4 linked regions of the Drosophila melanogaster genome follow. The gene in region 3 interacts genetically with the main gene of each other region. Each region holds a gene or a part of one and is shown on either strand. Other genes may lie near its edges.

What was found.
Region 1: of rdgA (region 3) and Nmnat, changing one suppresses a phenotype caused by changing the other (phenotypic suppression), as found in Drosophila melanogaster (one study listed by BioGRID).
Region 2: of rdgA (region 3) and Pld, changing one suppresses a phenotype caused by changing the other (phenotypic suppression), as found in Drosophila melanogaster (one study listed by BioGRID).
Region 4: of rdgA (region 3) and inaD, changing one suppresses a phenotype caused by changing the other (phenotypic suppression), as found in Drosophila melanogaster (one study listed by BioGRID).

Annotation. Positions count from the first base shown.
Region 1 is NT_033777.3:24,942,649-24,948,466, reverse strand, and holds Nmnat (nicotinamide mononucleotide adenylyltransferase), read right to left. Parts: upstream 3,231-5,818; 5' UTR 3,210-3,230; coding exon 3,014-3,209; intron 2,942-3,013; coding exon 2,535-2,941; intron 2,484-2,534; coding exon 2,382-2,483; intron 2,324-2,381; coding exon 2,172-2,323; intron 1,992-2,171; coding exon of another isoform or gene 1,955-1,991; exon of another isoform or gene 1,634-1,954; intron 1,584-1,633; coding exon 1,313-1,583; intron 1,205-1,312; coding exon 1,163-1,204; 3' UTR 1,067-1,162; downstream 1-1,066. Other genes in the region: mah (mahogany), read right to left, coding at 4-113, 189-835; ssh (slingshot), read left to right, coding at 4,818-4,877, 4,946-5,191, 5,257-5,648. UniProt on the Drosophila melanogaster protein: Catalyzes the formation of NAD(+) from nicotinamide mononucleotide (NMN) and ATP. Essential for viability.
Region 2 is NT_033778.4:6,242,761-6,248,959, reverse strand, and holds the start of Pld (phospholipase D), read right to left. Parts: upstream 3,449-6,199; 5' UTR 3,383-3,448; intron 2,697-3,382; 5' UTR 2,527-2,696; coding exon 2,376-2,526; intron 1-2,375.
Region 3 is NC_004354.4:8,923,060-8,928,981, reverse strand, and holds the start of rdgA (retinal degeneration A), read right to left. Parts: upstream 3,799-5,922; 5' UTR 3,286-3,798; intron 1-3,285. Other genes in the region: CG43255 (uncharacterized protein), read right to left, coding at 4,608-5,015; CG12661 (uncharacterized protein), read left to right, coding at 5,364-5,759. UniProt on the Drosophila melanogaster protein: Required for the maintenance of phospholipid turnover within the photoreceptor.
Region 4 is NT_033778.4:22,854,585-22,861,466, forward strand, and holds inaD (inactivation no afterpotential D), read right to left. Parts: upstream 4,211-6,882; 5' UTR 4,015-4,210; coding exon 3,978-4,014; intron 3,628-3,977; coding exon 3,017-3,627; intron 2,963-3,016; coding exon 2,872-2,962; intron 2,810-2,871; coding exon 2,454-2,809; intron 2,390-2,453; coding exon 2,165-2,389; intron 2,106-2,164; coding exon 1,994-2,105; intron 1,937-1,993; coding exon 1,797-1,936; intron 1,737-1,796; coding exon 1,440-1,736; intron 1,370-1,439; coding exon 1,178-1,369; 3' UTR 1,104-1,177; downstream 1-1,103. Other genes in the region: RpL23 (ribosomal protein L23), read left to right, coding at 63-274, 861-1,058. UniProt on the Drosophila melanogaster protein: Involved in the negative feedback regulation of the light-activated signaling cascade in photoreceptors through a calcium-mediated process.

The sequences.
Region 1 (5,818 bases), on a different chromosome or scaffold from region 3:
CACCCAAAGAGATTCCCTCAAAGGGTGTTCCAATTGCAGGAGCTGCAAAAAGGCAGAACCACAACAGCGCCACAATAACGATCATCACGCAAACTGCGATGATAGCCAAGCCCCTGGGATAATTATAAAATAGGATAATGCAGTGCATTGATAGAAAGCAAATAATCCTATCCTGAAATTTATCTTACCGCATGTGCTTTGGACTTCCCAGCCACATGAGCGGGCAGATGACCAGGCCGACTATGATGGCCCAGTAGCAGTAAGAGAAATTGTACTGACCAGCGCTCATGCGCAGCACGACGCCCTCTAGATTCTGGGCAGCCATGACCACGCTGGGCACCGCCATGGCGAAAATGCTTAGATCGAGCAGCACGGACACCAGCAGACTCATATAGGGACCGTAAGCCAGCTCTGCTAGTGCGGCATACGGATAGTTGCGCTTCTGTTGAATTGAAGGATCAAGCAGTTCCGCCATGGTCCAGCATTGGGAGAGCAGGAAGGAGGTATAGATCTGCAGGATGATGATAGAAAGCACCAACAGGATGCCAAAGTATCCAAGTTTCACCAGCAATGCCGGCAGCGTGACAAATGGGAAGATGCCAAACAAATCCACCACGTACAGGATGGCGATGAAAAGCGAAAGGTTCTCCGGTTCGTCCTCGTAGGCGCGGAAATGGGGAAGGGCGCTGAACCGCGATCTTCGCAGGAAGGGCAACTGGTCGTGCTGATGCGAGGGCGTTAGCTGGACAGGAGGCCGACGCTTTGGAAGCGCAAAGGACGGAGCGCGCGAAGGGCGTGGCGCGGGTTTAGCATTCTGGCGACGGAAGAAGAACATTCGCGATGTGGACTCTTCCAAGGGAAGCAAGCAACTGCAGTCCCTCTAAGCTTAAACTAATGGTGGCCACTCTCGCCTGCAACTGGCATATTACCATCAACAAGTTCTGACATCAGACACCAAAGCGAAGCCCTGCAACGACTGCAATGTCAATGCACGTCGCCTGAAGTTCAATGCCTTGTCCCTCCACTCCGTGAAGTGACCCACAAAAGCATGGGCAGCCGTCAACTTGGTAACGAACGTGTTTATTTTGCATATTTATATAATATCAACAAATAGCTTCCAGCGCCCCTGTCTTAATCCGCGTGAGATTCGTCTTCCAGTTTCCTAAAGTTGCACTTGGGAAATCTTCTGCTTCTTTGCTTGGCTCTGAAAGAGGGGAATTGATTAGAAGGATCTAAACATAAGTTTGAAAGCAAAACTCTGGATTCCATCTATGTATGAAATGCAATGGATACAGCGGTTAAGGATACCCACCTCCTCTTTCTCATCTGCCTGCATGGTGATGACCTGCACCGCTTGTCCAGGACCGGATCGCAGCACCTTGGATCCACGTAAAGGCACCTCCCCGCAGCAGAAAACCCGCGACGTAGGCGTATGCTGCAGTTGCGGGCTTGGAGTGTCCGACTCGTCCATGTCCTGCTCCAGCTGGTCGCCTATAGAGTAGCTGTTCGCGTTCTTGTTGTTGTCCGTATAGGCGTGGTTAAAGAGCAAATGGTTGGGACGCACCGCATCCGTTATATACTTACTACATTCCATGGGTTAGGCGGGCATGGTCAGTACAATAGCAACAAAGTTAAGGTTATTGTTTAATGGGACTACATTTTGGCAACAATTCGGTGTAAGTAGATGATACGCACACTGACCACCGCAAAACTATGGCTAATTTAACAAGGGTATTTACAAGGGCTAAGATTGGGCAAAAATAAACATGCATTAAAGGAATCACTGCTAAATAGGAACTTGAACTCGGATCTGCTCTGCTCACTCACGCTCCATGAAGAGGCGCCACGGCTCAAACAGCTTATGGTGCTGGTGGGGCAAGTGGTGCGATTTGCGGTGCTGGTGGGTTGGAAAGCGTGTGGGCGACGAGGGCTTCTTTTTCACGTGCAAAGCGCGTCAAGAGTCGCATTCGGTCGGAGCCGGTGCATCCCGCCTGCAGTTTAAGACATAAAAGGAAACAATACAAAGACTGCTGGTGGTGCACGTTAAGTGTGTTCTCTGCTGTGTGAAATGGATTAAGGTGGCGCCTCATTCAGTGTACGTATCGTTTGAAAGATGGGTAATTGTAAGTGAACATGCAGGATTAAGGGGAGGTAACAGGAAGACCACCTACGATTTAAAGTTAAACAATCGTTGGCGCTTGATGTACTCCAGCACCAGATCGTCTAGAAGGTACTTGACCGACTGGCCGCGTCCTAAGAGCCGCCGAATCAACGTGGAGCTCACCTCATTAGGCACCCAGTTGGTGATTAGCGTAATGTTGCTCTGAAATGTGAATGGAAATGAATAAGAAATAATGTTGTCGAGGTACTGTCTCTCTAACCTGATACTTGGTCAATATGTCGGAGTCAAAGATGAATTTTCCTGGGTTTGAGCCGGCCCGGGTGATAACTACCAAACCATGGTTAGCCACAATGTCCTCAATCTGGGAACAATCATATAAAAAAAGGTACTATTCAAATATATCAAGACTTACATCGGCCTCTGCCCATAGGCCTGGAACAGCAAAGGACTCCAGCAGATCGGCACCGCACAGTAGCTTCAGATGTACAGGATCCCGACTGTCGTGCAACCCACGAGGCAGCCATCCGGGTAGATGTGTGTTCTCCCCGTCATCTCCGCCTCCCCCGCCGGAATTTATGTGGTTATTGATATAGTTCTGGTGGTGCTGGAGCACCGCCTGCGTGCGCATCCACTGATTCTGGTGCACCTCCCAATCGGACAACCGAATCCAATTGGAGCTCTGGGTGGCCAGCTTGACCATGGCACATCTGTCCAAGGCGGAGGCCAGACCCTTTTTGCCATATGAGTCGTGCGTGGGCGAGATGATGCCACCTACCACTCTGTGGGTTCCCTGCATTTCGAAGTGGTCCTTGGCTATCTCTGTTGACAAAAACATGCCGCGTAATTTTATCGATTATGTACCGCAGAATTTCACAATCTAGTTTAACTCACCGAACATCCGAAGGTGCATGGGTGTGGGTGGACTGAAGCATCCGCAGGCTATGAAGGCGATCCGCGGCAGCAGGCTTTTTGTTTCCTCGATGAATGCTGACATTTTCTTCGATTTTGAGCGTCTTTTAAAAGATCCAAACCGCCGGAAGCATTCGCTTGTTATGTTGTTCTTGGGCCAGCTGATTTTCACAATCATCTGTTCGGCTTGTTGTTATTTTCCAACACTAAACAGCTGTGCAGTGGCTACCACCTCTGACTACCTTTGACTTGTTATTCGATAAATGATAACTTAATGTAACTTAATTTTTTGATTTTTAATCATCAAAAAGGCAAGAGTACATAAAAATGTATTAAAGCCTGTTTTACTGATATATCAAGAAGTATACAAACATCACTGCGTTTCTCATTAATAAGTACTTTTTTCGGTGTACCACACGAACATTGCTTTCGCTTGCGATAGTTAGCCAGCCCTGCCAGAACGATTGCCTGACGATACTAGTGTTATCGATTAGAAATGGCGTCCTCACTGTCTTTCTTTTAAGAAAAATTCGTGTAGTCTATTTACCATTTAGCAGCGTTGTGTGTGTCCGTTAATTGTAAGGACACGCTGTTTCTTAGAGAGAACCGCCTGGCTAGAGTGTCCGGAAAGCGGAAACCAAGACGATCGCAGGACGAGGTCGCGGAGCCGACTGCAAAAACAACGGCCAGCAGGCAGCGATATGAAAATGCATTTGTAGCCTTAGCCCACAACACTTGCACACACACCACACACTCTCGCGCACACTCACACACAGGGAAAAGGAGGTGGAGCAGAAGGAGCCGAAGCAGGAGAGGATTGCAAGGGACACCGCTGCAGCATCGCCATCATCTGCGCCAGGTGGAACACGAGGGTCAAGAGGCGTCGGCGGGGGAGGAGGAGCAGGAGGTGGAGGAGCGGCTGCGGCGACGACGACGACGTCCACGACCACGGCAACAACAAATGGCGCTGGTGACGGTGCAGCGCTCTCCCAGTGTGGCGGGCTCCTGCTCGAATTCGGTGAGAGGAGACTTGATGGTTTTCGCGTGTGCGTATGCGTGTGTGCTTTGTTTTGGTCACCCCCACTCTGCCAGGAGAGCCAATTACGGGCAGGCTCTTTAGTGCGTGTTCCGCTTTTGGCCATGATCCTTTGTGTGCTCGGATGTGCTTTTCATGCCCAATGTTTATCATCCGCCAGCTTGTTGCTTACGCTTTTTGGATTTCGACGTTCAACGTTCGCGTGTGGGCGGTATGAGGCAGCGTCATCATCGTCATCGGCTGTGCTGCGCTGCGCTGCTTTTGGTGTAACCCAAGCAAATCCGCAGACGTCGCGACGTCTATATTTTTCAACAGACTTTTGCATTGCCTTATTTGTCGTTTTTGTCGCTTTCCGCTTACCGCTTGTTTTTGTTTTCTTCGCCGCCCCACCGCCCAAAAATAGTTCGCGAGACCTTGACGTCCGCCTGCACAGAGGGAAAAATTAATATCGGGGGTTGATCAATTTAATTTTACAAAACGTTTTAATTCAGATATGCTCAATATGTCAAATCGGTATTTTTGAACACATAAATTAACATTTTATTATTTCTAAGAAATCAGAAAATATAAAAAAAAAAAAAATACTTCACTAAACCGGAATCTTTTTCGAACTTGTGACCCTTTTCTCAAAATCAGACGGTATTCAGTTGAACAATCAGATTTCTTGGAACTGCAGATACAGCTTTGCTTCTTTTCCGCCCTTGAAGTGTAGACTATAATCAGGAGTTTATCTTACCCCTTTGCAAAATAATGAGCATGCAAGTTTGTTCTTTGCCAGACGACATCCTTATATTTAGCCTAACCCCACGGGTGAGGTGCAGCAGGATAAGGTATTCTTAAACACCGAGTAAACAACTTTCCTTTCTCTATAACATCAGGATGGCGAGTCCGAGGACGACGAGGGCAATAGCAAAGGAAACGATCGCAGCGAGTGCTTCTTTGCCGGCAAGGGAACCGCCCTGGTACTGGCTCTTAAGGATATCCCGCCCCTGACGCAAAGCGAGCGTCGCCTGAGCACCGACTCCACCCGCTCCAGTAACAGTACGCAAAGCAACAACTCGGACATCCAGCTCCACCTGCAATCAATGTTTTACCTGTTGCAGCGCGAGGACACGCTAAAGATGGTGCGTATCCAATGTAAAATTACTTTGTCTATCTTTTAAACATATCTTTCTATTCCTATCAAAAGGCTGTCAAGTTGGAGTCACAGCGGTCCAACCGCACGCGCTATCTGGTGATTGCATCGCGTAGTTGTTGTCGGAGCGGCACCAGCGACCGTCGGCGCCACCGGATCATGCGTCACCACTCGGTAAAAGTTGGTGGATCCGCGGGAACAAAGTCGTCCACCTCCCCGGCGGTCCCCACGCAGCGTCAGCTGTCCGTTGAGCAGACCGCCACAGAGGCCAGCAGCAAATGTGATAAAACAGCAGACAAGGAAAACGCAACGGCGGCCGGCGACAACAAGAATACCTCGGGCATGGAGGAGTCCTGCCTGCTGGGCATAGACTGCAACGAGCGGACCACCATTGGCCTGGTGGTGCCCATCCTGGCGGACACCACAATTCACCTGGATGGCGATGGGTAAGACTGGGCATTCATCTCGTAAGAGTCATGCACTCATAACTGCCTAATTGTCGCTATTAACCTTGGGAATTATTTATAGAATTAATTTAAAAATTAGCCGCCCCTAATCTATACACAAATCGGTGTCGCCTTGACCAATTTCCTAGTTGAGCGGTGGCATTTATGTC
Region 2 (6,199 bases), on a different chromosome or scaffold from region 3:
GGCCTGTGTTGTAACCATTAAATGGTAATAATTAGCAAGTGCTATCTACATTCGAAACAGAAGCTCGCTCAAGGTCAGAGCTCACGACATGTGGTGTAGTTAAGTTTAATGCATTATGGTCGGCTGAACTTGACATAGGAACCCTGCTCGAACCTTGAAAACATTTAAAGCTAAATACACACGACGCACCTCCTTCGCCCGTAAGTATAGCATTTTCCTTAGCTCAGTGCTACTGGCTGAGAACGCAAATCAGAGGAGAATATTAGGTATCGTACGCATCTTTTGGAGATACAGTTTTGCCATATACCTGTCCTAATCTCTACTGTTCTGTTTTCCCAAAATACTTGAGCAATCAGCTTCTAGCTGATTGACATTTAGATAGCAAGCCCAAATAAAACGGCACAACAAATAGATTAGGCCATACTGCACAGTAGGTAGGCCAACCAATGACGGTTAAGTGAGTTTATGGATGCGGCACGGCTTTGCAAAAGTGCACAGGTTCAGTTATCGACGATAGTAATAAACAGAATAAATCAGTACTTAGTCAAGTGCTTTGATTAGCAGACAATAACAGGTGTCCTGTCCTATTCGCCTATTCACAGAGTAACTTTATTTCTGTCCGCTGAGTACCGCGTATAGAAATATTTAAAATTCAAAAATCGAAAATGGTTTTTTAAAAAAAAAAGGTAGCGACACCTGAAAATTTTTGTTAAGATACTGTTTCAGAAGTTGTTGGTTTAATTTATCAAACAATTGAACGAGTCATAACTTACGATTGCTCCTTATCACTTGTGATAATTAAAATAAACTGGAACGCCGAGTGCAAAGAATTTGATAATGGCCGTCAATGATCAATGACATTGGGGCACTTCCATGATACCCTATCATAATAAGTGCCATCAAAGTTTTATTACCACACTTTTACATACACAGGCTAGCTTATGGGCAAGTTCAACTGGCAGGCATAAATTCTTGGTATTGAATTCGTTATTATATGGGTAGTGAAAATAACGAGTGTTGGCATATGCCTTATCACGAAGCTCTTTTTGCTATCAGCTTCAAGTCACCAAACAAAAACTTCTGGAGGCAAAAACAAAAACTTCTTTAATGCTCGAGTTCCATGATTTGTGATAAAAGTGAAAAAATAAAAAAATTTAAGTCCATCAAAAATGTATTTGATTAGACGAATCGTTAAAGAGAATTGTGGATATAATTAAACCTTGGACCTATTATTCAATCATCGGCCGCCGTTTTCAGAAATTTAAGGCGGTATAATAAGTGTAACACCGTACTCAATAAAAGAACCATAATTTCTTAACACCTTTTCACTTTCAAAGCGATTTGCCGAACTCATTAGTTTTGGCTCATTGGTTTTGGCAAGCAAATTAACTTAAAAAAAACTTGACACTTTTATCACTAACAGATAAGACGAATAGAAGTAACCCCATTTTGTTTCAAGAATATACAATTTTTCGTTGAAAAAACTAAACTCCAACCACAATAATACGTTTTTATGGTGGCGAATAAAGCTGTGGTATCCCATTCCTATTGATAGGGCATTGGTGTGAAAAAAAACTAGTTCTAAATTGCCGAATTAAATGTTACTTAAACATTTTTGATTTAACTGAAAAATTCTGTTATATGCATTGTATTTTTTTTTGCAGGAATGTTAATGCTTTCCATTTAATGCCCGTTATCAAAATGTCCTCAGACCGAGGGCGTTCATTTTGAATCGCCTTTGTTTAGCGGGTTTTGTCAGTGGCCGGTCTACTGAAAAGGTTATTAAACCCACCGATCGCTTGCTTCACCTGACCTACACACAATTGCAAAGAAATCGAAACTTCCTGTTGCAATGATCGAGCATGAGTACAAATGTAAATCAGGCTCGATATATTTTTAACAATATCGGCATGTATCGTTACTTGCAGCGCGTCATGCATTTTAAAATTGATTATGATTCATTTACTAATTGCACCGTTAGGCCGAGCCCAACACGCAATTTGATGGAAGCAATAAGTGGGTAAAGGCTTATATAATCCAAAGGAAACGGGTATTGTTCGGCTAATTTATTATTTAGGCAATGAAATCGTTATCAGTTCTTGGTTCCCTACACTACTACACTTATTTAAGTTCGACTGCACACTCATTGTTATAAATCGCCCCAAATTGAAACAATGAAAACTTGGTGCAGAATGATTTTTCACTTTCGCATACCATAACACCTACCGCCAACCAGTTCTAAATGTTGAAATATCTTAGCAAACATGATCACTCTTATCTCATCTCACGATGACGCACATATTTCATTGCCGCTCTACGAGAACCAAGTAATCTATGCAAATGAAAATATCTTTATCTTCAGATCTAAAAATTACCCATGCTGGCCATCAGCTGTGAGATGCTGCGGCGATGACGTCGGACCTGCAAATGTGGCAAGTTGGCGTTCGATGACGCCTGCCGGGGCAGTTGCAGTTGCTGGGCCTCATGGTTCTTGCTGGTTTTGGTATCCAAGCACGTGGCCATCATTGTTGTGTGCGCTTTACGCGGGCTATTTAATGGGCTCTATTTTATTTTTGGCAATCGGTTTTTGGCTTTATAGATAGGAAGCTTTTGTTGTCGGCTCCAGTTTTTTGCATTTCTCAGTCGCATCGACAGTTCGCCTACGTGAAAAATGTCCGTTCTGCGGCCTGCGGAGGCTGTTTAAACCACAAATTATAAATACCGCGTTTGTGTATAATGGACTTATTGCCGTGGAGGTAAGTAGAGGAAGGAAGGATACTTTGCGCCACGAAAATAATCATTTAAATTAATTTTGCCTTCCAAGTTTCATTCAGTCACAGCGTGTATACTTTTCTTTTTTTATATCCCTTGCATTGAAAAATAATTAATTAAATTTTTATCATGGCATATCGTTATCTTTGCGTGAACACAAAACCAAGTTTTGCAAATATAACTGAATGTTTCGCGTGCTCTTTATATTCGTTGGTATTTGGCTTTTGGCGCTTCCAGCTCATTAAAGGTTTGCACAATGGCCAACTAACACACGCACAAATTTTTTGTTTTTCTGCTTTCGCATATTTTACTTTTTTCACTCGGCTACATGGCTTCGCGAGATGGTGCTTTATAACTTGTATCTTTGCATCTCACAGATGCTTATCAAGTTATCAAGTTGGAGTGCGTCTGAAAGATTGTCACGTTTGCATGCGATATGCAGCACTTTGTTTACTTTTCGAGCCACCGACTAACGGAAGTTGCAGAACCGAAAAAAGCGCGACGTCGCATTGAATTCGTCAAAGAGAGTAATGCCACGCTATGTGAAAAAAACCAAACTGAAGACACCTCACACTCACACTTTGAGCCCCCGGCAAAAAGCTCGCCTTACCGCCACGATCTGCGATCCACGAGAAACGTTGCGACAACTTGGCCGTCACTCCGGTTAATAATATTAACTAAACCTCGCGACGCAGCCAAAAGCTTAGGTCGCCGAGCTCAAAACGGTTAACGGGTAACGGTTACGGCGAGAGCGTCAATGCCGCAAGTTGGTAATGGAGAGGGAGTTTTCCAGAGCACAGCTGCGAACTTCAAAACAGCTGGCAAAGCTTTTCATAATCTCCAAGATATTGAAATGCGATAGCCCGAAAACCCTTCGACTGTTCTAAGGTATTATGCAAATAAAAACATAATGGGCTTCTACGGCAAGGTCAGCCACAATCCATAAGAACAAGTTCTCTGCCGAGGCATTGGCACAAACTCTACAAGCTTTCCAAAGCTTTCTGCGCGGTTCACACACCTTTTAAAAATCGCTGATCGAGTACAGGCCTATTGTCGGACCCGCAACAATGGTCGAGGAGTCGATGAGTCACAACGGCACTTTGGGTGTGCATGTAGCTCTGCTTAGTATCTATTGCGGCTATCTTATCGGCAACACTAGACTTGGGCACAATCGCTGTAATCAGAACTCATTATTTGTACGACCCCAATGAAGTGCGCAGGATAAATAACCGAATTACAATTAGCATTCGATTAGATTGTCCCACGCGGGGCAACTGAATTTCAATAACTTAAATTATTGACCCCTAGTTCGGAACTAAGTAAAAATAAAATCAAAAGTATGTTTTAGAGACTATGTCCAAGTTAGTGACTCGGTAAAAACATTTGACGATCGCATCATGCCAAATACCATACCAAACTTTAGTGACGAAAAATTATTTTCGGACATTTAATAAAAATCCCCTTTCATCCCAAAAAAAACATGAGCCTATCGAACAATAACTTTATTCTAAATATTTTCAAATTATAGTTAGCTGTTGAGAAATGAGACTAAGCTTTCGAAGGGATAGTGCTCCGGTAGCGGTTTGGATAAGGTAGTTGACTCGTTCGATATTATTTAAACAATTCAGAAATTAGTACATTGTTATCTTCCATAAATCTAATCTAAGAAATATACTGTCCTAATATAAGTTTTCCTTCTGTCACTCAAAGAAATTTTTAAGTAATTAAGTTTTGGTGCTGACTTCTATTTGGTCATTGAATTTCGTATTGGGTCTGCTAACTTTGAAGTAGTGATAGCTTTTATTACTAGTGTAGTGAATTCTTTGTAAACTTGTTATTTAGTATATAATATAATATATTATAATAGTTGCCCAAGACGAAAAAAGAACCTGTTTGTCACTTCCAAAATATAACAGATAGAAAGTTGCCAAGCCCCCCTAATGCCTATAGCCGCCTAAAACTTGCACATCCTTGCACTTTTAAAAAATGTTTTCAAATTTTTTTTTATATTTTTATTACACTTGTAAATTTTTATCGATTTACCAAAAAACTTTTTGCCACGCCCATACTTTCAAATTTGTTTAAATATTTTCTCAATCAATTCACCATTTCCACTAACTGAGTAACGGGTATCTGACTGTCAGAACATAAGTCGAATATAGCATTTTTGTTGTACCCGTTACTCGTAGAGTAAAAGGGTATACTAGATTCGTTAAAAAGTATGTAACAGACAAAACGTTTTCGACCATATAAAGTATATTATTTATTTATTATTATAAAGTATATATATTCTTGATCAGAACCAATAGCCGAGTTGATCTGGCCATGTCAGTCTGTCCGTATGAACACCACCATCTCAGGAACCATTATAGCTAGAGAGTTGAGATTAGATAAAACGATTCTAGAGGCACGCCCACAACCGCCCAAAACTGACACACCTTTTGAAAATGTTTTAATATTTTTTTTTTTGATCGTTGTGGGAAACCACATTCTAATTCTTTAGGTCTATGCGTTGCCTATTAGATTTTACTAATATCACTATTAGCTTGGTCACACTTGTGAAATATACATAAATAGTGATAAGATAAGAAATGTGCTTCTATAATCCGCTCCTGTCATTAAAGACAGAGTATTGGTTTAGAGGTTCATATTCCAAGAAATTAAAATCAGGGCCAAAAATGGTTTGCAGTGTGTCGACGTTACATTGGGTGTGGCTACGTTTGGAAATAAGCATACGTGTGGAAAGTCTTTAGGATCTGTATGCTGAATCCTTTATAGGTACAGAGATCCCGAAGTTCAAATGGATATACGAACGGACATAATCGACTCAATTAATAATCTTGATCAAGAATTTATATACTTTCCTTGGTCGAAAAGACTTTGTTTTACATGTTGGATACTTTTAAAAGAATCTAGTATACCCTTTAACTGATCTAGGGATGTGGGACTAAACAAGAATAAGTAGCAACATATGTTCATACGTATCCATAATATCACCTGACAACATCCTTATCTAAAAGCATATTTAATCTAAAATTGATTAGCAACTGGTACCTAATGATTATTAAAATCCGAAGCTTCGTTGGAGAACATTTTCCAGCACATGGTTCTGGGTGACTTCTAAAGTAAAAACTTATTTTAGTGTCCTTGTGTCTGATGATTTGGGGAAAAATTTTAACTTGCCTTTTGCCATATATTGAAATTTTAAACTGCCTGAACCCACAATTTGTTTAAATGATATTGTAATAATATATGTTAAACCATTTTTGGACACAAAATTCACAAGTTTTTACCACGTTTCACACATTTTATTTGTGCAACTTTTATCCATCTTCTTTTTTCCAAAGCAGGCCAACTATTTTATAAATATTGGTATAAAATAAATCAATCAATGGTATAAAATTTATCAATTTAAATAAAGTTAAAA
Region 3 (5,922 bases):
GTTTGCCCACCCTTTAAAATTTGTTTTTTTCGTTTGCCCACTCTTAAAACTAAATAATTTCGATTGCCCACCTTTTAAAACTAAATAATTTCGTTTGCCCATCCTTTAAAATTCATTTTTAACGTTTGCCCACCCTTTAAAAATAAATTATTTCGTTTGCCCATCCTTTAAAATTCATTTTTAACGTTTGCCCACCCTTTAAAATTTGTTTTTTTCGTTTGCCCACCTCTTAAAAATGGTTTTTTCGATTTTTCACCTATTAAAAATAAATTTGTACATATGTATGTAATAATTGTAAGATGTGGCGTCAAAAGCACAGTTACTTACAAAAGAACAGTTATTTACATATTTACATACATTTTCAATATATCCATAGTGTTAATCATTCATGAATTGTAACATCAATTTTTCTTAATCATTGTTTCATTTCATGGAAAATATTTTATTCCAGAATTTTCTTGAGCTTGGAGGGTGTTGATAAACATACATACATTTTTTTGCATATATATTATATTGCAATATAAAATATTTTCCATGAAATGAAACAATGATTAAGAAAAATTGATGTTACAATTCATGAATGATTAACACTATGGATATATTGAAAATGTATGTAAATATGTAAATAACTGTTCTTTTGTAAGTAACTGTGCTTTTGACGCCACATCTTACAATTATTACATACATATGTACAAATTTATTTTTAATAGGTGAAAAATCGAAAAAACCATTTTTAAGAGGTGGGCAAACGAAAAAAACAAATTTTAAAGGGTGGGCAAACGAAATTATTTAGTTTTAAAAGGTGGGCAATCGAAATTATTTAGTTTTAAATGGTGGGCAAACGTTTTTTATTGGAAATTTTTATTTTAAAGAGGTGGGCTAAGGAAATTGGTTGTATTTTAAATGTGGGCAATCGAAAAAAAATTTTTGTTAAAGGTTTTTTAAAGGGTGGGCAAACGATAAAAACTAATAATAATGGTTGGGCAAACGTTTTTTGTTGATAATATTTGGTTTTAAGAGATGGGCAAACGATTTACTCTCTGATTAGACCGAGGTAAACTTAAAAGCCTTATATTTTCTAAAGTATAAATTTTTTCAAAATTCTAAAGGGTGGGCAAACGTGGGCAAACGATGTTATTGCGATTTAAAAAAAAAAATTTTGAAAAAAGCGAAATTTTTGATTTTCGAAAATTTTCGAACTTTTTCGAAAATTCATATCTCAAAAACTGGACGTGGGCAAAAAAACTAATTGGTGGGCAAACATGGGCAAAAAATGGGCAAACGATTCCAGCTTTCAAATTTCAAAAATTCGATTTTTCCGACCCCAGCTTCTTTGAGCTACCTAAACTGCCACACACAACAATGATTGATTGTGGAAATTTTTGTGGGGGTAAAAAATGGTGAATAAATTACCACACTGGTTGGTAATTGGTTTGGTTTGCAATGCAATTCCATTCGATATTGAAATTCCCAAAAATTGTTCAAATGGCAATTTCTATTAATTAACACGGTGCTTTTGGCAAAGGAAACACCCTTACAAATGGATATACAATCTGCAATCAAAATGCGATGCATACGTGTTTCCCCCTCGTTGCTGTCAAATAGCCCGCGGTATCTTTCGACCATTTTCATTCTCTTTTCTGTTTTTTTTTTTTTCTTCTTTTTTTTGTATTTTGTTTTCAATTTTTATGTGTATTTTTATTGGATTTTATATGCGAACCCAACCCCTGGGTCACGAATAAAAAAAAAGCGACAAGAAATGAAAATTGAATATTTTATGTGAAGCGAAGCAAACAAGAGCAAACAAAAAATTGTGGATCAACAATTGAAACATCGCGTTTTTATATGTACGCAAGACAAATGGGTAGCAATTTCTTTATTTCAGAAACAAACAAAGTCGCCTAAAACAAAAATCTTTAAACCATTTCAAAGCGCACACATTTATTATTACAAATATGTGCAGGCTTCATTCATGTTTATACTTTGGTGATTTAAAATGTAAATTCTTCGTATTGATTAAAAAAAAAATATATAAATTTAAAGTTTCCTTAGAGAAATTTAAATTGTATATTTACACTTGGTTACCGCGACGAAGTGCCTTCGTCGTTGAATGCAAACTTGAGGACAACAAACGAGCGGAAGCACAAACACAAATGCCACGTATACGCCACGTTGTCTGACATTTTCCCCTGTTACCGGGGAAATGCGAAATCAAAGATTGCCAACCGCACAGAGTGCCGCCTTTCGCCATTACGTTATTTTCGCCATTTCGCGCTCTTATGTCAGAGAAAAGCCGGTCACGCGCCAATACAAGAGCTGCAACATCCTCCAGCATGCAGTTCCTTAAACGCACCGATTAGCAAAAGGACACGTACACGAAGGATGCGTGTGCGGATGTCGTTGCGGATGCCAGTGCGGATGCGAATGTGGCAACAAGTTCGGCTAACGAGACTGGCTGGCCGACAAGAGCACACCCAAATCCTTAACCGGAGTGGCCTAAAAAAAACCTAAACCGCTCGCTTTGGCCAGCAATTTTCAATGAATGGCATCGTTTAATACAATTGCCCACACGGCGTATGCGTAACGAGTTTGTTTCGCCGTGTTTTTGCCGAATTTCGAACCGAAATTGCAGACGATTTTTCATTAAATCATCTTATTGACACACAGACATTCGAAAGTAGGGGGATACTCTGAGACAATGAGAATGTTGGTAATTGAATTTATACAGAATGAAAAGCAAAGGGCATTCCACGGAATTTTATTCAAAATTACACATTGTTGCACACATATTTGTGGAGCCTAAAAAGAGCTCGAGCTTTAAATAATTTTTAAAAAATTACTGCTTTAAACTAAGATATATTAATATATTCAAGCAATTCGAGTCAACTATTTTACATCTGTGGAATTTTGAAACTCTTTGTAAACTATAAAATCCGATTATATTTTATGATATTCCAAAAAAACTCATCAAATTCAACACAACAAGCTGAGAACCGAATTCTTGATAATTTCCATGCGTGATTCTATTAACTGAAGCATACAATACAATATTCTGTGGAGCTTTTCCTAAAACTACGAATATTTGCCAAAAATTGTAGCTGAAACTTTAAATAAATCTGGGAATCCCCATTTGAAGACTAAATATAAAAACATTTCCGAAAAATCACAATACAAACACGCTGCTCACAATCACACACGGCAAATAAACTCTCACATCACGAAATTAATCAACAAATTTTCCAAGGAAATTTTTCAATGAATTTCAATAAGTATATTCATATTTACCGTTTCGGTTTGCCGCTTTAGTTTTTCTTTACAATGGAACGCACTTTTCAGTCGTTCGAATCAAGTCAAAATTTCGTGCACATTTTTGCGTGCTTTTACACGTTAACAGTTAGGATTCAAAAAGCACAAAAACTAGATCTTAGTCTTACATAGTTTTAAGTTTTAAGTTTGTATCGTAGCTTATATTTCAAGTATTGAATAAATACTTTGGAATATCTTTGAATATTTTCGAATATTTGTACAAGTTAATATTGGTTTAGCACAACACTTAGAAGCACAATCAAAAAAATAGTTACTTTATATTTAGATATTGTAAGTTTTTCAGTATGTTTATGTTTTTCTTATGGTATGCGATGTTTTTGTTGTGTTTTGGGCGATGTTGGTGTTTTTTTTTAAGAACTTGGTAGTTCCAGAGAGTTTTGGTATTTTGCTTTGAAATGTTTGGCCTGCTTGGGCTGTTCTGCTATTTAAATGAGTTATTTATTTCTAGAACAACGCGCCTCGTCGACCGTTCAAATGAAACTGATGCGAAGGCGACGCATTGCCAGGAATATAAAGCGACCGGGAGCGAGAGGGCGCTATTGAGCATAAGCGCGGGAGCGAGCGAGAGGCCAGCAATCGGCCGGCAACTTCGGCTGTGGTCGGCAAAAGCCGAAGTACTATAAACACCTGTAAGCAGCCTTCGATGCCGGCGAGAGAGCGAGAGGGAGAGAGGGAGGGAGGGAGAGAGAGAGAGCGAGAGCGAGCAAGCGAGCGAGTGGCCGTATCGTTCTCACTCCCTCACCCTTTGCCGCCCAACGCCCACATACTCCCGCTCGCCCCGTCTCTGTCTCACACCCTCTCTCGCTCTCGCTCTCTCTCTTTCGCGCTCGCATTCGGAAGCGGAAGGAAACTCAACAGTTGGCACATTATTGAGTGGAGAGAGGAGCGGAGAAAGTAGAGCGGAGAAATGGCGAGAACTGCGGAGAAAGTGCGGGCGGCAGCGCTACTCTTTGTTTTTGTTGTCGCTGTTTGTTGCCATCAAATTTATGGCAATCATTTGTGCGGTGTTTTAAGTTGGTCCAACACAAGTGCCCAAACTATCGATAATTATCGAGAGAGAGAGAGAGAGAGAGAGAGTGATGGCGTGTGAGGGCGATGGAGGAAGTAAGGGATTAGAATAATCCAAACGATTATCGTAATGATATTGTTAGCTATTAGCAATCAGATTGTTTGCAATATCTAAAACAATTTAAATAAACGATTTTATGGCATTAATTATCGGTATAATCGGCAATATTGTTATCGATCAATATCATTCCTAACAACAGGAAGAAAGCTGCTTATATTTTTTTGAAAAATATTAAATCGAAGAAATCTTCAAGGAAATCATTGGTCTCATGTTCGGTGTCGACCTCGTCGAGTAACTTCTTCAATCTTCGTAATAGATCCTTGTCCTTTTCGAGAGTATCCAACAGTTGTTCAGCATCGCTTTTTAATAAGCCCAATTTACGTAGTAAACGTATCACACGCCTTTCAAATGGCGTAAAGGACTGACGTTTGAATCGGTTGTATCTCTGCGGCAGCTTCAAGGATATCTTGTGTTGTACAAATTCCACAGAATTCTCTTTATGTTTAGTAGTCGTTAGCTGCTCCTTAGATATCCCGTAGAATTCCTTATCACGACGTTCAAGGCTTAATCCAAAAGCGGCCAAAAAGACCAAGAGCCCAAAGATATGCAAGTAATGCATTTTTAAAAACTATGCACGGCCACGTTGTCCAACTTCTACTTATATACACTTTCAGTAGTGCACTTATCAGCAAAAAACAAATTAACTCAAACTCAATTAGAGATAGCTTCACACTGAGTTATGTCAATGCCGTGACTTTAGTTTAAAAATTTGCCCAAGAAGAGTCAAGAACATGACCTAACTTACTTAACACTGCGAGTCGCCCATTTCCTGCTCATATATTATTTAAATTGAAGAAATTATTACAAAACCAAAGTAGCATTGCGTTTTGCGTAACTCAAATAAGGGCAGTCAAACGAAAATTACCAACCGACTTTTATATTTTCCATAAATTTTATACTACTCGAGATGGATTGTGACAATTCGAGTTTGGAGGAGAAGCGAGAACGCGTTGACAATGCAATCCTAACCGCCATGGAGGATCTGGATCGGGATTATCTGCGCAAATTGCAGATCGAGATGCACAGATGTGCGACCGCCTGTTGTGCGGATGCGGACGCGAATGCGGAGGCGGTGGAGCGGTGCATCGATCGCTGCCAAATCCGTTTGACCCGATCACGCTGCTTCGTACAGCAGGGTATATCCGATTTTGAGAATCGCCTAGAGAAGTGCATCCAGCAGTGCCGCCTCAATGGATCCGATTATAGCTTGGAACGTTGCACCAGCAACTGCGTGGATAGCCATGTGGGATTGTTGCCCGAAATGTTTAGGGCTATGCGAGATACCCTGGAGAAAGGTGTTTAGCAAAACAGAACACTTATGGTTTGATTTAATTAAAATTATATTCGTTGGATTTAAACAAAAATGTCTTAATTTATATTATTTTATATTATATTTATTATTCAAAAATTCATTTAAAAAATATCATGGACTGTGAACCACCGATTTCCTTAAATGCCATCAAACA
Region 4 (6,882 bases), on a different chromosome or scaffold from region 3:
TGGAGAGTGTCGAAGTTGTGGTGTGCAAAACTAATAACCCTCTGTTTTTCGGTCTCATCCAGGACGTGGAGGTACCGCGGGAGGCAAGTTCCGCATCTCCCTCGGTTTGCCCGTGGGCGCCGTGATGAACTGTGCCGACAACACCGGAGCCAAGAACCTGTACGTGATCGCCGTCCACGGAATCCGCGGTCGCCTTAACCGTCTGCCCGCCGCTGGTGTCGGCGACATGTTCGTGGCCACCGTGAAGAAGGGAAAGCCCGAGCTCAGGAAGAAGGTGAGTGTGGTGCCCAGTGCTCCGGCTGAATCGGTCATGTGCTAAAAGTGCCCATGGGCTAGCAACCCGCCCAGTGAACACGTTTTTCCACTTTGTTTGTGTGCGTTTTCTTGAATGAAATTCAACTTGTTTCTGTTTCAAAGAAGCCAATTTGAAATTAGTTAGCTCTTATTACATTGGGTTGCTTAAGGTTAATAATCGTATTTTGTGCTACACTATTTGTCATTTGTTTTGAACGGGCAGTTTTAATTTCTATCAATTGCAGAGTATTTCATTGTAAAGTAATACGATAATATAGATAGATTTGTATTAGACGTGGAAGGTTTCTCCTTACGCTTCCAATAAATTTTCCCCACATGTTTTGTGCCGGCTAAGATAGCTTATCGCACCAAACTCACGTTTTTAATATTTTTGTTTATTGATAAGAATTTAAAATTGTAGTGAAGAAGGTTTATAAAACGGTTTCACTGCACTTCTCATAATTCCCCCACCTATAACAACGCACTTTTGCATAACTAACCGATGCAGCAGGAGGTTTGCACACTGCCGAGCAACTTTGCTAACTACTATTTTCATTTGTTTCCAGGTCATGCCTGCCGTGGTTATTCGGCAGCGCAAACCGTTCAGGAGGAGGGACGGGGTGTTTATATACTTTGAGGACAATGCCGGGGTAATAGTAAACAACAAGGGCGAAATGAAGGGCTCGGCCATCACTGGACCGGTGGCCAAGGAATGCGCCGATCTGTGGCCCCGTATTGCATCCAATGCAAGCTCTATAGCCTAAGGAGTTTCCTTTTCAATAAACCCACAACGGAAAACAGATTGTTTTGAATTCGAATTGTTGGTTCTTTTATTGAATTGCTGCACTGCTTCGCTACCGGAGGAGGAGAATGAGGATCGTCTCTAGGCCTTGGGTGCCTCCGTACGTAGAGTGGGCTTGGGTCGTGTCACTTCCATCGATACCTTGCCGTTGGCTCCCTTGAACAAGGCGTAGCACACCTGGAACGGAAGACCCTCCAAGGCATCGCCATTGAATTTGGTGATAATATCGCCGCGCTGCAGTTTGCTGTCTATCTCCGGGTATTGTCCTTGAATCTGTCGAGAAAGTAGTTACTTAGGGTTGAGCCTTCCTACCACTGTATACCAGTGGTGTATGTGCACTCACCAAGTCCGCGATGGTACATCCAATTTCGTTGGGAGAAAGCGACAGGCCCAGCTCCTTGCCTGCTTTTTTCATAAGGTCAACGTTAAACTTTTCCAGCTCCGGAGGATCAGCGCGGAAGACCGTTAGGGTGACCGCTTTCTCGTATGTGGTGTGGAATAACTGATGGACCTTCAGTGTCGTCATGGATCCCACGTGGATTGGCGTACCATTTATATCGCAAATGTGGTCAAAGATCTTGAGGCGCTTGTCGGCTGCCACTTGTCCCTCCGGATAAACGTGGGTGATTACACAGCCAGTCTGTCAGGGAAAAGTTGTTTAAGGTACTTCTTGCAGAAACAGAAAGTTCAGATAGCCCACCGTGACATGGTTGTTCTTGCCGCCGCAGACGATGACGCCCATTGGCTTCTTTTCCACCTTCAACTCAATGAGTATCTTTTTGTTCGGCTTGATCTCGGCTGTGGCGGGTTCCTGTGGCTTTTCCTCCTCTTTCTTGGCCTCTGTGAGTTATCGGGATGAAGATGTCAGTTTTGAACTTGCTTGGACGCAATACCTACCCTCCTTCTTTTTCTCTTCCGCCGCCTTCTCAGCCTTTATCGCCTCCTCGCTCTTGAGAGTCAATAGAATCATGGTCACTACGCCCTCGGCACGTTTAAGCAGTCCAGTAGCCTGAAGTGGATATGAAATGGTTTTAAACTAAGTGGTTGGAGGGCTTCCTGACGACTCACATCATCGTAGTTGGATTCCAGTGTTACATCCTGATTAACGGCCAGCAGCATGTCGCCCACTTTCACGCCCGCCAACTCGGCATTCGATCCCTCTCTCAGATCCGAGATGAAAATGCCACTTCCCACCTCAGCGTGCTTGCCATAGATGACCATGATGCCCAGGAAACCCTCCTTGCGCACCTGCACCGTGCGCGCCTTGGGAAACTGGTCGAAGATAAACTTAGTCTGGAATAGAAGGGAAGGACATTTTATCGCAGGATCCATCCGAAAAGAAGTGAAAAGTACGGACCTCATCAGACGCGGTGGGGAACTTCTTGATGGGCTTGACGCACATGCCCTCATCGTTGGGCTTGCGTCGCGAGGTGATCATCACGAGCTTATCCCCATCCACGTTCTTGAACACGGCGGAAGCGTTCAAGTGGCAGCGATTCTTCAGCACATTGCCGTTGACCTCGACGATCTCGTCGCCCGGTTTGATGTCCACGCTACCCAATGCTCCGTTGGGATCCACACCGGCAACAAAGCAGGCCATCTTCTGGCGGTCCTTGTGGCCAGCGAGTGCGAGTCCCAGTGGCTTGCTGGCGTCCCTCTGGACCTCGATCCTGCGCAGATCCTTCATCATGTTGTACCGCTTGTTGATCTTAGCTGGGAATGGCATTCACGTGCTGTGTGACTGACATTTTTTAATGGCTTCAATTGAGTCTTACCCATCGTGTAGCCAAATTCATCTTCCTGCTCCTTGTCGCGATCCTTTTCCTGCTTGTTGAGTTTGCAATTACCGGCGGATGCTCGATCGATCTAAGGTACTTATAAGTTAGTAGAGCGATGGGTGGCGACCTTGGGTTAACCCACCTCATAACCCGCCTCCGTGCGAATGCGACCGGTCATGTCCCGGGTGTCCTCGTCATCCTCGTCGGCGTAGTTACTATGCTTCTGACGCATCGAGGCCGTGAATGTGGTATTCCGCTTCTGCATCGATTGCTGCCGGTTCATGCCAGCCATTCCCTGACCCTGACCCTGACCTTGCCCCATTCCCTGACCTCCGGACGCATTGTTGTTGGTGGTCTGCTCCTGGTTGAACTTGTTCTTGGCCTGCATGTAGCCATTGCTCCGCGGATCTGACTTGGCCTGCTGCTCATCGCTCTTGTCGAAGGTCTGAATCTCCAGTTCGATCTTGAAGTCCGCCTCCTTGATGAGATCGATGACCGCCTGTTCGGTGGAGTTGCGCACATCCTTTCCGTTGAGCGAGAGGATCCGATCGCCAACCTTTAGGCGACCACACAGATGCGCGGGACTGTCGGGCACAATGCCCTTGATGAAGATGCCGGTGGTCTTGGTGTTGGGCGAATCCTTCACCTCGCCGCGCACTATGCAGATGCCGAAGGACTTCTTGCCCGTCTTGTCCAGGGTCACCATGTGAATGAGCTCTGGGAAAGGATTGTGCATTCCAAATGAAATAAAAACTATTTACAACGTATTGTTAAAGTACGACTAAGACAAATGTGAAGCTATTACTAATAAATATTTATTGGGGTCCTTATCCCACTTGGTATCCTTTCGCAAAATAATTTTCACCAATATTGTATAATCGTTTATATAAATGTTAAGGTTAAGTTCATTACATAAACATATTTCTCACAGGATTCTTAAGAATCAATAAAGTCAATTGAATTGGCTTTTGTTCAAATTTTGTTTTATTTGATTCATAAAACACAAAACGAGTATTGAGTGACCTTTGGAAGGTCAAGTTCTTTCGGGACTAGCTGCAAATTTGATTAGCAGTTGGTCATGAAACCACTCAATGGACACTGACCACCCGCGGTGCCCTGTTTGCCCAGGAACTGAACCATCCTCGCTGCTTGAGATCGACTGCTCCGTAATCCTAGCCAAAAACTCGCGACTCACTGACCGGACATTAAGCGCACCGAATTAAGCTCAAATGTAATATCGAATATTTATTGTTATGGGTTTTCACTTAATTATTATTTGTGAATATTCCGCGTTGGCTGCGCCCGATTTGAGTCCATTGAAAAGTGCGCCTAAACTGATTTTACAATTAGCGGGCGAACATTCTTGCTAACTGACTTAGTGGCCATTCTATTTTGAGTATGATTTTCGTATCGATTACACTGGTCAGCAGGGTTGATCTTAGAGTACCAGATGCATGTAGTTCATACATATATGCTAAGACACTTTCACAAACTTTCCTTCTAAAGAATGCTTGAGTAAAAGAAAAATTCTACTAATAATAATGAAAATGTTTCGTATCTTGAGATTACCCATTAAAATATTACCTTGCAGTACAGTGCTATCGATTCGGAGGAGGTGCCTCCAATGAATTGAGTAACTTTCACTGTCTGTTATGACACCACTCACAAAACACCCAGCTCCCCGAAGACGGCCATTATATGGGTTACCATCGCGGATGTGAAGGCTAGGGGAAAATGGATACCCATGTACCTTTATTGGCCCTATCAAGTTATTAATTTGTTGGTACGATTTGGCCCGTGCTGAACTCAACACTCCGCCAGGAGAAGCCCACCAAGTGTTGACCAGCAATGCCCATCGATTTTATATTTTTCTTTCATTGCACTTACAACTGAATAACATATGTCTCACACACTTTTACCTGGGCGAGAGCTTCTATATCGGCACTGCAAATAACAACAATTTGTGGGGGACATTTTTAAAACATATAATATCCTTAATAAAAAAACAATAATAAAATGCGCACAAAATACCGAAGAATAAAGAGTAAATAAATATAAAATGTAAGGTGACAATGATATGATATTGAATATGAACTGTATATATTCAGTATCAATAATATAGCCCCAAAAAGTAGGCAACAATTTCAATGCGAATTGGTAAGGATTGCTGGGGAACTTCTGAACCAGACACAAGCGGTAATCAAATAAAACTTTCAAGATTTTTATCTTTCGAGTGGCAAATAAATTTAATTTGTCTGCCGAGCTTAAATTCATAATCAAGATTTGCATTTTAATGCCTTTGTCGGGGGGAAAGGCGGTATGAAAAAAGGAAACTGGAGGCAGGGAAGGGAGAATATGACTATGCAAACATTTCCCGAACATTGCCCGAACGGAATGAAACGAAAGTGGAATGGCTAAGGCAGCTCCAAAGGAAAACTAGAGTAAACACATGCTCAAAGGAGCTGGGCGCAAAATGGGGTTTAAACTGGAAAATGGCGAACCCAACGGAGAGTGGGAGTGAGAGCGATGGGAGTGGAACGTCAACGACTGCGAAACGATGCTGGAAATTAATTTCATAATAAAAAAGCGTAAGGAAACCCATTTGATAAAACAATTTCCTTTTTGCCTCCCAACAGTCATGTTTTGTTAGTAAAGTAAATTCAAAAGAGAGCACAGCGAAAATATGGCAATGAGCTTAACGCTGCCGCCCCCTTTTCCACCTCTTCCCCCAGCCCCGCCCCGCTCTCTCCTCGTCCCTTGCAGCCTCTGCCGCTGCCGACGTCGCTGTTCGCAAGACCTCGCCCTCCGATTGGCTCTCTGGCCGCAGGCCACGCCCCTGCAATGGCTGCTTTGTGCCGTGTCCTTTTCGGCTGTTCCGCTCTCTGTTTCTCTCTCTCCTTCTCTCTCTCTCTCTCTCTGTCCGCTCCTGCAGAAGTCGTGCTGCTGCGGCGCAGTCGGCGCATGGTTGTTGCGGGGATTTAGTTAACTGAAGTGATTTTCCACTGTTGGCTGTCACACAGGCAAACACACTCACACACATACACCCACTCGTCCTTATGTAAGTGGCCACACGTGTCTGTGTGTGTGTGTGTGTGTGTGTGTGTGCAGGCGAATCCGTTGTTGACTTGTTCTCGTGTTGTACTTACATGCAGTTATATCAAATTGCTAATAATCGTTTAGCAGGCACTTCAGACTGCGTCCTGGAAATGAATAAAAATTACAGTTTTCTGCGCCAAAACACTTGAGGCAACGATTCGGATTTGGAATAATATGGAAATTGCACAGGACCTGGGGAGCTGGGTAATAAGGAAAGCCACAAAACCACAACTGAAAATGGATTACCGGACTGAGCGGGGAAAATTCTCGTATGACTCAGAACGGAACTGTTGGTAACATATATGTATAACAAACCATCTCCTAATGGTTTCATTTACAAAAGTGTTTATTAAATTTAATATTTGGCTGTCTTTTTGTATCCATAGGTTAAGGCAGATATACTTTATACTCAAATCTGTTCAATAATCATTAAAATGGCCATAAAGGCCATCGAAAAGCTTAATATAATTTTCAACAAATTTTATAAAATTATTAGTAATTGTAATTTACAATTTTGATATGTTTGTAACAGAGAACAAAATTTGTAACTTGTTGAGTAAAGGGTAAATAATATTCCTTGAAAAGTATGTAACGGCTATAACAAAGCGTTTCGGATTCTATTAAGTATATATATTCTTCCGTAGAACCTCTAGCCGATTTAATTTAGCCATATCCGTCCGTTTGTCTGTCTGTCCGTCGAGGTTTCGTCCATATCCGACGCATTTTCACTAGCTGAGCTAAGCGTATAACTGATAGGCGATAGAGTTCTCTCTTCTTTTACCCTTGTATAAGAACTATAGATAATGGAAATACCTATAGATATCGGGACTTTATTCCAACATATATAGTTACTATAAATTATGTATTAATATATAATTTTCCCTTAAATATACCAATGTATCAAAAATATAA